Drosophila melanogaster: one gene and its partners. The protein of the gene in region 3 purifies or fractionates together with the protein of the main gene of each other region. This does not show direct contact. Each region holds a gene or a part of one and is shown on either strand. Other genes may lie near its edges.

Region 1 (4,296 bases), on a different chromosome or scaffold from region 3:
TTAGAAAATCAGCACACATTTTGGGTACTTTAAATTAGATTGTTTATTTATTTAACATCTGAGCTTTGCCGAACTACTACAGAACTGCTCTGAGATTTCTTTTTGTAGCCGAGTGTTGGGTGGGCTTGCTGATCCTGTTATTTCCGTTGTCCTAGGTCCTGTCCTTATTATTGTTTCTGTTGCTGTAGTAGTGCTTCCTGCTGCCGTGTTGTGTGACTTGAAGCGTGCCACAGAGCGGCATGTAAACACAACCTTAAATTAAAATATGTTTGCTTATGCAGTTTGTAAAGCAAACTGAACGGCAAACTATAACCGATTCCTCCCGCCAACCTAGGCATAAATTAAAACTTTGCAACATTCGCACGGAGCCAGTGTTTCGCTCGGCAAAAGCTAATTATGCATAAAGCTGCGGCCCTGGCAAGGGGTTTATTTACCTTTTGGTCTACTGCCATCCAAGAGGTTGATGTTGCCACAGCCCCGAGAATCAGTACTCCTGGGTCGGAGGTCATCGGCGGTCGTGGGTGGTGGTTCGCTGAGCGGTATTATGACAGCTGCCCAGCTGACTGACAGGCTGCGGTGAGAACTGCTGTCGGCGGCGGAAATTAAACGCCTCGATTTGCGTGCCCGTCACGCGTAAATCAGGTAACACAAGGCCCGACAAGGCTGCTGGCCATCAAATTCATTAGAACCGATACCTACATATGTACCTTGAAAAACCAAAAGTTTCTATGAACCCTGAACTAGTAGTCATACTGTTTCTACTTCCATATTTAGTAAGCTGGATAAATGGTTCTTCATAGGTATAAAGCTCATTAACTAAAAATTGTTTAATGGGTAACCTAATACTTTTCCTGAAAGTGATTAGTGTATAAATGACTTAAGTGCGATAAAAACCTGAATTTAATCTGGTCTTAACGAAGTATTCAACCGATTAAGCAGCAACGACCTAGTCGGCCAACAACTAATGATCAGGTCACTCATCAATCTGTGAAGTGTTGGCAGACCGCTCATCATCAACCCCACCAGCTTCTGGGATTAATCCCTAGCCCCGAAACCACCGAAATGGGCAGCCGCATTGGATGAGCCGTCCGCTGATTTATGTGACACACATTAGGACGACCGGCTAGTTCGTCCAGTGTAAATTGAAAGGGGCCCGGCAACGAAACTGCAACATATCGCCGCGTTTTATGATGCTTCGAAATTAACAATTTTAGCTGCCCGCAGCGGCAGCCGCATTCCATGTTAATGCACTTTATCGCCCCCGGCCAGGCGAAATTACTCAAAAAATGGCGCACAAATTGCAAACAGGGCGCGCATAAATTAATCGAAGCCTAGGCTAGCGAAATTAAAACATTAATCTGCGCACCCGACCAAGCAGCACAATAATTAATGCTGGCTAAAATTTATTAATTTATTTATAAAGCCAAAAAGGGCGGCTGAAAAGGCACTGAATAAGAGGTGCGAATCGTGGTCCGAATGCGAGTCCTACGGATCCTCGAAAGAAAACGAGAACGGGAATGGGAATGGGAATGATGGAAGTGCCCAAGTGCCGTCCGACAATAAAAACCAAAGACATCTTCAAATGGCCCGGGATGAAGTGGACAGCCATGAGGCAGCTTCCTTGGCTCTGCTGGACAGTGCGCAGTTTTTAAAAATGTCAGTACGCCCTCTAGGGACAGATTAGCGATTAATCTACGGGGCATGGTCACATGGACGCCCTTCGGACAACAGACTGCGGACTGCGGTCCTCCTCGTTGCTGGGAGGACGAGGTAACGATTAAAAAATCTCCACATAAAAGACTGAGCACTTAATCAAAGAGGATTTAGAGAAGAACTAAGGGGCGATTACAGAGGACGGACGGGGTAAAAAGCCAAGGCAACCAGAGCCAAAACCGTTGATGCGGCTCTTTGTTTCTAGCTGCTTCTTCTCACAACGCATACCCTGCAATCTCAGACTGGGCATTTCAGCAATCTAAGCTAATAAAGTAAAGAAGATGATATAATAGTGTACGATACAAAAAGTGTACGAGTATCCATATTATTAATCATATGGTGTGGCATACTTTTATAATTCTAATGAATGAAACACGTACTTTCATTACTTTCAAACACTTTGATGCATTTTCCCTTCACTCAGGTAGCTAATTGCAGTGAGACAGACAGGCAGATGCTCGATAAGTAAACAGGCAGGTTAAGGTGTGTTTCTGCTTCAAGGGTGGTTTGGCAATTTTTCCATTTATAAAGTAAGGTGAGTATATTGATTTTTCGCAGTTGGAAGCGAACACTTGGCAGGTGTGAAGTGCTGATCCAGAAAGGAGCTAGTCTTGGCACAGGTAAGTTTTCCGCTTGAAATTTCTCTACCTTGTTATTAGAAGTCTTAAAATTCACTAAATATTTATCTATTTCGTTTCTGAGATAATCATTGGAGAGCATCTCCCAGTCGCCATGCTCTCGCATTAATCGCCTTACTTGGATTTTAACTACATATTACAAGCACTTTTATTTCGCTAAGCGTTGCTCATAGTTTTCGGTGCGCTTTTTCATTGCCATGCAGCATCCAGCTCCACCTCCAACTCCACCTCGATCCCCTCGTGAAAGACCTTAAATAGTGGCAAAGACATCTCACAGACTTGGCGCGCTGCATTTGTCAATTTACTACGAGCTGAAAGGGGCGTGGCCGCGCATAAAAATGATATATGTGAGCGCTGAGTTAGCAATTTTCGTATGAATTGGCAGAGTTGCAGTTGCTGCTGATTCTGCTGCTGCCGTTCGCTTTATGAATTTCTTTATGGCCAACCTATAAAATATTTTGATTGCACCATGGTGTGTTCGGATGAGGGGGCAGTTTGAAATTAAATGCCTGCCGCTTGATTTGCTCGCTGGACCTCAAGTGGATTCCTCGCAATCCTCGTCCACTCGACCACTGTCCACTTCAGTTCAGTTCAGCTCGGACCTGGCCTGTTCGGACCTAGCCCGTTCGGCAATTATGGAAGAAAAACCGCAAAGCGCTCCAAAGCCGGCCCAAAACATTTGTTGGCCTTGCCAAGTGCTTCTCTGTGCAGCGCCAGAAATTTGGCATTTCCCCTGTAATCCTTTTGTGTGCTAATTGGAGCGTTGCCGGGCCATATATATATCCCCTGGAAAATATCTGGCCCAAACAGTCCGCTTGCCGGCCCATTCGGGGCACTGAAATCGGCTTAGAACACTTGTCAGCCCACCAAATGTAAATATTAAACGGGGCCATTTAAATGGATTTAGTTTCGCAAATACACAGTATATCGGCTGGGCCTTGAAATTTTAGTTTCAGATTTAAATAAATAAATAAATAATATTAATAAAGGGTATAGTAAATATTTGGTGGAATTCTCAACTTCAAAATAGCATGTGACTCATACAAAATATACAACACATCGTTAATATATACTATATTAATACATTACTGAACTGGTAGCTCTTAACATCAATACATCTTTTAAAAATTAGTCACGTGTAATTAAAATGTGTCTTTTTAGGATAATTTATTACCTTAACATATTAATAAGTTGATTTGCACAAATCAAAAGTTTGTATCTACAGGAAACGTTTAGGAACTAAAAATATTACTAAAATTATACTCAATTATCGTCTTGCCAAATAAGTCAACAATGCGACTCGCTTTATTGATATTTGGACTTTCAATATCATGGGTAAACCAAACATTTTGGAGTTTGATAAACGCGTGCTAAACTGATGAACACTGCGTGATTATGTTTGGATTTCATTGTGATCAGCTATCGGATTCACGGCGAGACATCTCTATTAATTTATACAAAACATCATCTATTTTGGAATACAGGAGCTATAAGGTAGGCTAAGCTGAATGTGTGCTCAACTGATTATATGATTAACATTTGCCCAAAGGCTTTCTGCAGGTAAACAATATATACGTGTTATCTCGCACAAGTTGGCCAGAAGTTCAGGGCATTTGGCATTATTTGTCATATTCGCGACGCTTGTCGAACGCCTCTTATCATCTGGGATTAAAGTACACACGACTTTATCGCCATCTCAGTTGCTTTTCTCATCCGGCGAGACAAGATGAGATTTTTCTGCCATTGATAGTAGAGCGTCGAAGCCCACCAGACGTAGTTCAAAAAGTGCGAGATTGCGAACAGAGTATTATCAATCAACTTGCTGAGTTATATAACTCGGGCGGTAGACAAGCCCCCGAAAAGTTCCGATTACTTAATATAAATAGAATTGGTTTCGACCTACTTATAACTGTTTTTGTTTTGATTGCCATTTAAATCGGCTCTT
Region 2 (4,296 bases), on a different chromosome or scaffold from region 3:
TTTGGTTAAGAAAAGAAATATTTATTGTCCGGCACTGAGCCCAAATTATCGCAAAAATAAATTAGGAAATTTCATTGAGTCATTGGGATTTATGAGTTTGTTGATCCATTTTATTCTGTATATTTAGTGTCAGATCGAGTTTGGATGTCTAGCATGTCGGACAGACGTAAAGTTTATATTTTGGTCCTTCTCCAGGCCATTTTCTTCAACCAATTGGCTGAGTGTGGTAAGCAAAAGCAATGATTTTTAAGTTTTCGTAAAAAACCGAAGATGTTATATCTTGCTCAATAATATCCTTGCAGAGGATGTGTGCTGTGAATAGGTCACGTTCGACCCCATGAATTATAAAAATTATCATATCCATCGATCCGTTTTATTATAAATCATATTCAAAAATAATAATAATAATAATATTTCCACATAGACTCGTACTGCTATACTTTATCGGGGCTTTCACTTATCTATTTTTGTAATTTATAGTTCGGTTATCAAGCTGCCAAAAGGATGAGAAATGCACCAGACTGGTTAGCTGCTCGCCGCTTATGAACATCCTTAGGCCCCGGGGCATGACCCAGGCGGAGAAAGATGTGTTTGCACACAGGCAGTGTGGCCTGGACCCCAATGGACACGAGTTGTTGCACATGGTTTATGTCTGCTGCCCAGAGTTGGGTGACGTCTTGCCCAACAAACAGACCTGTGGACAAACGACGCCCGTGTTCCGAGATCGGGGTGCCGAGAATGCAGAGCTTAATGAGTACCCTTGGATGGTATTGCTGTTATATGAGAATCGGCTATCCTTGATGTGGAATCAACGAACTGGTTGTGCGGGCTCACTGATCAACAGTCGCTGTTCACACATGAACACGAATATATTTAAAGACTTACAATTTTGGGCTCCGTTCATATCTTATGTAAATGAATCGAGAGCGATAAATTATATTTAGGATTTTGTTATCTAAGGCGACATGGGTGCATTGCTCAAAAACATGTAATTTAAGTGCACACTACATGAGTCAGTCACTTGAGATCTTTCCCCGCCTCCTAAAATAGTCCCTTAGTGGGAGACCACAGATAAGGTCCTCGCCGCTCAAGATAGGCAGATGTGCCCGAGCGTGGGACCTCGATAAGGCGGGGACTATTTACTTAGGCCTCTGCGTAGGCCATTTACTTTAAGATGCGATTCTCATGTCACCTATTTAAACCGAAGATATTTCCAAATAAAATTAGTTTCTTACAAAAACTCAACGAGTAAAGTCTTCTCATTTGGGATTTTACAGTCGCTATGTGCTGACCGCTGCCCACTGCGTGATCGGTGGTTACTTGACGCAGAATGACCTGGTTCTGAAGAGTGTGCGCCTGGGCGAGTCCACTACCGACTGCATCACCTCGGAAAGCAGGTGTCCACATTTGGATGTGGAGGTGGGGCAAACAACAGTACATCAGGGTTTCACTTCGAGTGGCGGAACTTACCGCAACGACATCGCCCTCCTCCGATTGCAATTCCCAGTGCGGTGAGTAGCAGTGATCTCCACCCTAATCTCCACATCTTATGGAAATTTCTTTACAAACCCGCTAGATACACGAAAAAGATCCAACCCATTTGTCTATTGGACGCCGAATTTCCCCTACAGGATTTGAATTTGCAAATCTCTGGCTGGGATCCGACTAAAAGCAGTCAAACGTTGATCACCAGCACGGTCAAGGAAAGGAATCCTGCTGATTGCTTGAATAGGTATCCCAGCTTTCGCTCCGCGTCCCAAGTATGCGCCGGTGGTCAACGGAAAGGGGACACCTGTGCGGGCATCTCCGGCAGTCCGGTAATGGGCATCATGGGAAGCGGCGTCGACGAGTTCGTCTTTTTGGCAGGCATTGCCTCATATGGACAACAATATTGCTACTCTGCTGGTATTCCAGGTGTTTACACAAAAATTGGCCACTTTTCGGAGTGGATCAAAGCGAATTTGGCTCCCTAATTTTAATAAAGAATTCATATTTGCAAAATTGGAATAGCATCTGTTCCATTAATCCACTACTATAAAGTAATAGACCTATAAAACCCCAAAAGATAAGAAAAAGCACTGAAGATTGTTTTTTAAAAAACGTGTTGTTCAAAAAACATAACGTGCCGAGAGAAGATTAAGCATAAATAAATTTCTAATAACTACACCGCTGGGTTTGCCCAGCTCAGCAGAACTACTATGTAAATATTAAGGCAGGGAAAGACCACCCTATTCACATAGCTTTTGCCTTTGTTGCAATCTAGATGGTATTGAGTCCGGAGATAACCTCTGCTAATCACGCCCAATGCATCGGGAGAGAATCGGTGACAGCGAAACTGCCGGACAGCTTGGTTAGTATCAGCTTGGAGCCCATAGCGACGAGATGGCTTCTACGGAACGGAATTTTCTGCTACTGTCACTGGTGGTCAGCGCATTATCCGGCTTGGTCCATCGATCAGGTGGGTAAGCTGTCCTTTGGGCAAACAATATCCACAGCAACTGGATGCAATGGTGCTTCTTTCAAAAGTATATAGTTCTATATATATAGTATAGTATAGTATATAGTTTGAATAAAGCTAGAAAAACTAAGCACTTGACCTTGTTGATTGTGAGAATAAAAACCATAACAACTAATAATCAAAGAGTTTTTGAAAACTTCAAATATATTAAATATCAACATATAGTTTCCCGGACTAAGAAATTTTATGAGAAATATTAGACATGAAGTCCATTAGTAGAATGGATTGCCTTTAATGGATTGGTTCAGAACCGGTTAGACTGCATCGTAAATCGCGCTCTTCTCTTCCAGACGCAGCGGAGATCAGCTTTGGCAGTTGTACGCCCCAGCAGAGCGATGAGCGCGGCCAGTGCGTTCACATCACCAGCTGCCCCTACCTGGCCAACCTGCTGATGGTGGAGCCAAAGACTCCCGCCCAGCGAATCCTTCTCTCCAAGAGCCAGTGTGGCCTGGACAACAGGGTTGAGGGCTTGGTGAATCGAATCCTGGTCTGCTGTCCGCAGAGCATGCGGGGCAATATCATGGACTCGGAACCAACTCCTTCGACGAGGGATGCACTGCAGCAGGGGGATGTGCTGCCTGGAAATGACGTCTGCGGCTTCCTTTTCGCTGATCGCATTTTCGGGGGCACCAATACGACCCTCTGGGAATTCCCATGGATGGTATTGCTGCAGTACAAAAAACGTGAGTAGATTACCTACCCAGGCTCTATTTTAATCTCTTATAGGAAGGTTGTTTCACGAGGTCACCTGTAATCATTTTTTAATCACTTTTTCAAATCAAATTCTCCAATGGGGGGATCATCATTATAAGAAAACGCATATTCAATATATACAAGGCTATTATTAGTATCTAATCAATTTATAATATGTACTTGGGAAACGCTCTTTATCCTTTCAGTTTTTTCTGAAACCTACACTTTCAACTGCGGCGGTGCATTGCTCAACTCGCGCTACGTCCTGACCGCTGGACACTGCCTGGCCAGCCGAGAACTGGACAAATCCGGTGCCGTTCTACACAGCGTTCGCCTGGGGGAGTGGGACACTCGTACCGATCCTGACTGCACCACCCAGATGAACGGACAGCGCATCTGTGCACCGAAACACATCGACATTGAGGTCGAGAAGGGCATCATCCACGAGATGTATGCTCCCAATTCCGTTGATCAGCGTAATGACATTGCGTTGGTGCGCCTTAAGAGGATTGTTAGGTATGTGGTCCAGAGATCCCTCAATTATTCCACTGACTTGCTTTTTTGTTTTTGCCACAGCTACACCGACTACGTGCGTCCAATATGCCTTCCCACGGATGGTTTAGTCCAAAACAACTTTGTGGACTACGGCATGGATGTGGCCGGCTGGGGACTTACCGAGAACATGCAGCCAAGTGCGATCAAGCTGAAGATCACCGTCAACGTTTGGAACCTAACGAGTTGTCAGGAAAAGTACTCCAGCTTCAAGGTGAAACTGGACGATTCTCAGATGTGTGCCGGCGGCCAGTTGGGCGTGGATACATGCGGTGGCGATTCCGGCGGTCCCCTTATGGTGCCTATATCCACGGGCGGCCGGGATGTCTTCTACATTGCCGGCGTCACCTCCTACGGGACGAAGCCCTGCGGCCTCAAGGGATGGCCCGGCGTCTATACCCGCACGGGGGCTTTCATCGATTGGATAAAGCAGAAATTGGAGCCATGATGAATACATACTTAAATACATGATAACCATGTGAAAAGCGCGATGTAGATATTGGGGTTTAATCAATTCACATGAGATCGGCACT
Region 3 (3,600 bases):
TCGCCGGTGGAGCCACTGCCAAGCCCTTCGTGACGCATCACAATGACCTCAAGATGGATCTGTTCATGCGCATTGCTCCGGAGCTGTATCACAAGATGCTGGTGGTGGGTGGACTCGATCGTGTGTACGAGATCGGACGGCAGTTCCGCAACGAGGGCATCGACCTCACCCACAATCCTGAATTCACCACGTGCGAGTTCTACATGGCGTATGCCGACTACGCTGACATTATGGATATCACCGAGCAGTTGGTCTCGGGAATGGTGAAAGCGATCCGTGGCTCCTACAAGGTCATCTATCATCCGGAGGGTCCAGAGGGACCTGAGCAAGAACTTGACTTTACGCCGCCCTTTAAGCGCGTATCCATGATCAAAACGCTGGAAGAGAAGCTGCAGGTGAAGTTCCCCGCGGCCGACACCTTCAATTCGCCAGAGACGAATCAGTTCCTGTCTCAGCTGTGCGCTAAGCACCAGGTCGAGTGCCCAGCTCCGCGCACCACTGCCCGCCTGCTGGACAAGCTCGTCGGCGAATTCATCGAGGAGTTTTGCGTGAATCCAACGTTCATCTGTGAGCATCCGCAGATCATGTCGCCGCTGGCCAAGTACCATCGCAGTATTCCCGGCCTGACGGAGCGCTTCGAACTGTTTGTGGCCAAGAAGGAGATTTGCAACGCGTATACCGAGTTGAACGATCCGGTTGTGCAGCGCGAGCGTTTCGAGCAGCAGGCCAGCGACAAGGCGGCCGGCGATGATGAGGCCCAGCTGGTCGACGAGAACTTCTGCACGTCCCTGGAGTACGGACTGCCGCCCACCGGTGGTTTTGGCATGGGCATCGATCGCCTGGCCATGTTCCTCACGGACTCCAACAACATCAAGGTGGGTCTACACTTGGTCTTTAACTTATTGCAAGCGTTGCTAAATGAGGCTTCTTTTTTTTTGTAGGAGGTTCTGCTGTTCCCCGCCATGAAACCGGAGGATGCCAACCGCACGGCAGCGGAAACTGCTCCCACCGCACAGCAGTAGATGGCCAACGCCGCTCACTCCACTCAGACCCAATCCTTGTACGTTACGCTGGTCCCGGACTAATCCCAGTTGCTAAGTTATTCAACCAATAAACATTTTTCCCAATAACCAAAGCTGCGTCAGTTTCTTTTTTTTATTTTCTGCTAATGTCCGAGTTTTGGGATAATAAATATTATTAAGATAATTCTATAATACTTTATATGGAAAATATCTCGATTATATAAACCAGGTACCGTAAATTATCAAAATTTTTCAGTTAAAATTTTTTTGATTTGACATAATTTTTGTGTTATATCTAATCTAATGATTATTTATGCGGATAAAAGAAAGACTTGATATGTAAATCAGTACGCATTTTTGTAATAAAACCTAAAATTATACTGATATCAATTAATAGTGTTTTTTGAAAACGATTTTGTTGCTGCGCTTTAGGTTTTATTCTAATAAGAATATATTTTCGCGCTTACCAGCACCGCGCCACTTATCGATAAGCGCGATAGGCGCGTATCGAGGACCAATGGACCGATAGGTCTGGTGAAATGAAAACATTGGGGCAAAAAAACGCGGAAATTGTCAATTAATCTGTGCAATCACAGGATGGGGGACCAACAGCAGCTGATCCTGGCCACCGGTGGTTATGACCACACCATTAAGGTGTGGCAGGCGCACACGGGCAACTGCATTAAGACGATGAGATTCGTGGAGACCTCGGTAGGAATAAACCGATTCGTGCATTTTCCGGTTAACGAACATGCTTTAACTTGCAGCAAGTGAATGCGCTAGACAGGACACCGGATAAGACGCGACTGGCGGCGTGCGGATACCAGTGCATCCGGCTGTACGACCTGGAGTCCAACTGCACCGCACCGGTGATCAATTTCGATGGCGTGCAAAAGAATGTGACGCGACTTGGCTTCCAAGAGGACGGCAATTGGATGTTCACCGCCGGCGAGGATCATCACGTGCGGATCTGGGACATGATTGCCGCACCGCCACACTGTTCCCGGATCTTTGATTGTGAGGCGCCGGTAAATGCCGCCTGTTTGCATCCCAACCAGGTGGAGATCGCCATGGGCTCACAAAATGGCAGCGTCTTTCTGTGGGACGTCAAGTCGGAGCGGCACGAACGCATCGTGCCCGAGGTGGACGCATCCATTCAGGATGTTGCCATCTCGCCGGATGGCAGATACTTGGCGGCGGCCAATAACAAGGGCAACTGCTACATCTGGTCGCTGACCAGTCAGGATCAGAAGATGAGCACGCTGCGGCCGAACAGGAAAATTCCGGCCCACTCTCGCTACATACTGCGCTGCAAATTCAGTCCCGATTCCAGGCTACTGCTGACGACATCCGGCGATGGCACTGTGTGCATTTGGAAGACGGATGACTTTAGCAAATGGCGCGAGCTGTGCATCGAGAACTATTGGGTGTGGGATGCCGCCTTTAGCGCCGATTCTAAATGGCTGTTCACAGCCTCATCCGACGGCATTGCACGACTGTGGAAGCTGCAGACAAAGAGTTCGATTAGGGATTATACTGGTCACACCAAGGCCATCACTGCCCTGTCCTTCAAGGACGAGATCGTGGGCAAATAGCAGTAGTTGTAGTAGTAGTAGTAGTAGCTAGCGGCTAGAGTCTAGGCACTTTGTAAGTGGCTCCTGGTGGCGGATTTTCATTTGGCTTTCCCCAAAGATTGGCCTACTAGTTTTAGTCATTCTACCAATTAGCTGGCTTAAGTCCACACAAAATGAATGGCAATTGTAATGGTTTGTTAAGCATCGCGGTTTTAGTTTCTACTCTTAATTAGACTCAATGTTTTAGTTCAGCTTACGTTTCCCAATTAGATGCATATATATAAAATGGTAATTCATAGTCTCAAAAAAATTGATATCCTTAATGTTTGAAAAACTGCCAGCAGTGCTCATTAATTCACTTCCGAACTTAATTACGATCTATCTTAAGCCAGTTAAATCAACAAATATCTCAGATGTACAATCATCCGCAAAACCGCCAACCCAGCGAGACAATCCGCCAGGAACAAATAATTTGGCATTTTTTGAAACAGTGGGGAGAGTAGCAATGAATCCATATATGGGCAACACGACAACTGAACTGAACTGAAGCATCAACTAAAACAACATCCACACAACAATTGAACAGATTAATGAGAATACCTCTGAAAATGAGCGCTTGGCTTTTGTAGCGACTTTTTCATAATTTATAAACCTTTGATACATAATTATATTACGACTAAATCGTTTGTATGCAAAATGCAATTTGAATAAAAATCTTATCAGCGTACATACACATACAATACAGAAATTGAAAAACCAAAAGTATCTTTAAGATAATGGGGAGCACAACATAGATGCGGGAAAATTGACTGTCTTTCGTTCTTTTCATTTTCCTCCTGCGCTTTCAGTGGACGGGAGCGGGTGATACTTATATGTCGGGGTATTTTAGTCCACATAGTCAATGCCTTTGGCCACAATCGATTCCTTGATGGGATCCGGATCGTCGCCCAGCTTGTAGCCCACAATGCATGTTACGTCCACGGCCTTGCCTGTCGGATTTAGCA

The links.
Region 1: the proteins of Lst8 (region 3) and CG8654 purify together in Drosophila melanogaster (affinity purification with mass spectrometry, with the first as the bait; one large-scale study listed by BioGRID). This does not show direct contact.
Region 2: the proteins of Lst8 (region 3) and SPE purify together in Drosophila melanogaster (affinity purification with mass spectrometry, with the first as the bait; one large-scale study listed by BioGRID). This does not show direct contact.

What each region holds. Positions count from the first base shown.
Region 1 is NT_033778.4:19,976,977-19,981,272, forward strand, and holds the start of CG8654 (uncharacterized protein), read left to right. Parts: upstream 1-2,265; 5' UTR 2,266-2,333; intron 2,334-3,563; exon of another isoform or gene 3,564-3,845; intron 3,846-3,900; exon of another isoform or gene 3,901-4,296.
Region 2 is NT_033777.3:23,683,904-23,688,199, forward strand, and holds SPE (Spatzle-Processing enzyme), read left to right. Parts: upstream 1-2,351; 5' UTR 2,352-2,382; coding exon 2,383-2,458; exon of another isoform or gene 2,459-2,634; intron 2,635-2,808; coding exon 2,809-3,201; intron 3,202-3,417; coding exon 3,418-3,727; intron 3,728-3,787; coding exon 3,788-4,211; 3' UTR 4,212-4,244; downstream 4,245-4,296. Other genes in the region: CG18754 (uncharacterized protein), read left to right, coding at 154-226, 481-802, 1,278-1,511, 1,577-1,973.
Region 3 is NC_004354.4:9,603,895-9,607,494, reverse strand, and holds Lst8 (Lst8), read left to right. Parts: upstream 1-1,525; 5' UTR 1,526-1,619; coding exon 1,620-1,733; intron 1,734-1,789; coding exon 1,790-2,617; 3' UTR 2,618-3,341; downstream 3,342-3,600. Other genes in the region: LysRS (Lysyl-tRNA synthetase), read left to right, coding at 1-875, 942-1,022; Gga (Golgi-localized, gamma-adaptin ear containing, ARF binding protein), read right to left, coding at 3,482-3,600. UniProt on the Drosophila melanogaster protein: Subunit of TORC1 and TORC2, which regulate cell growth and survival in response to nutrient and hormonal signals. Essential for TORC2-mediated regulation of cell growth and phosphorylation of Akt1.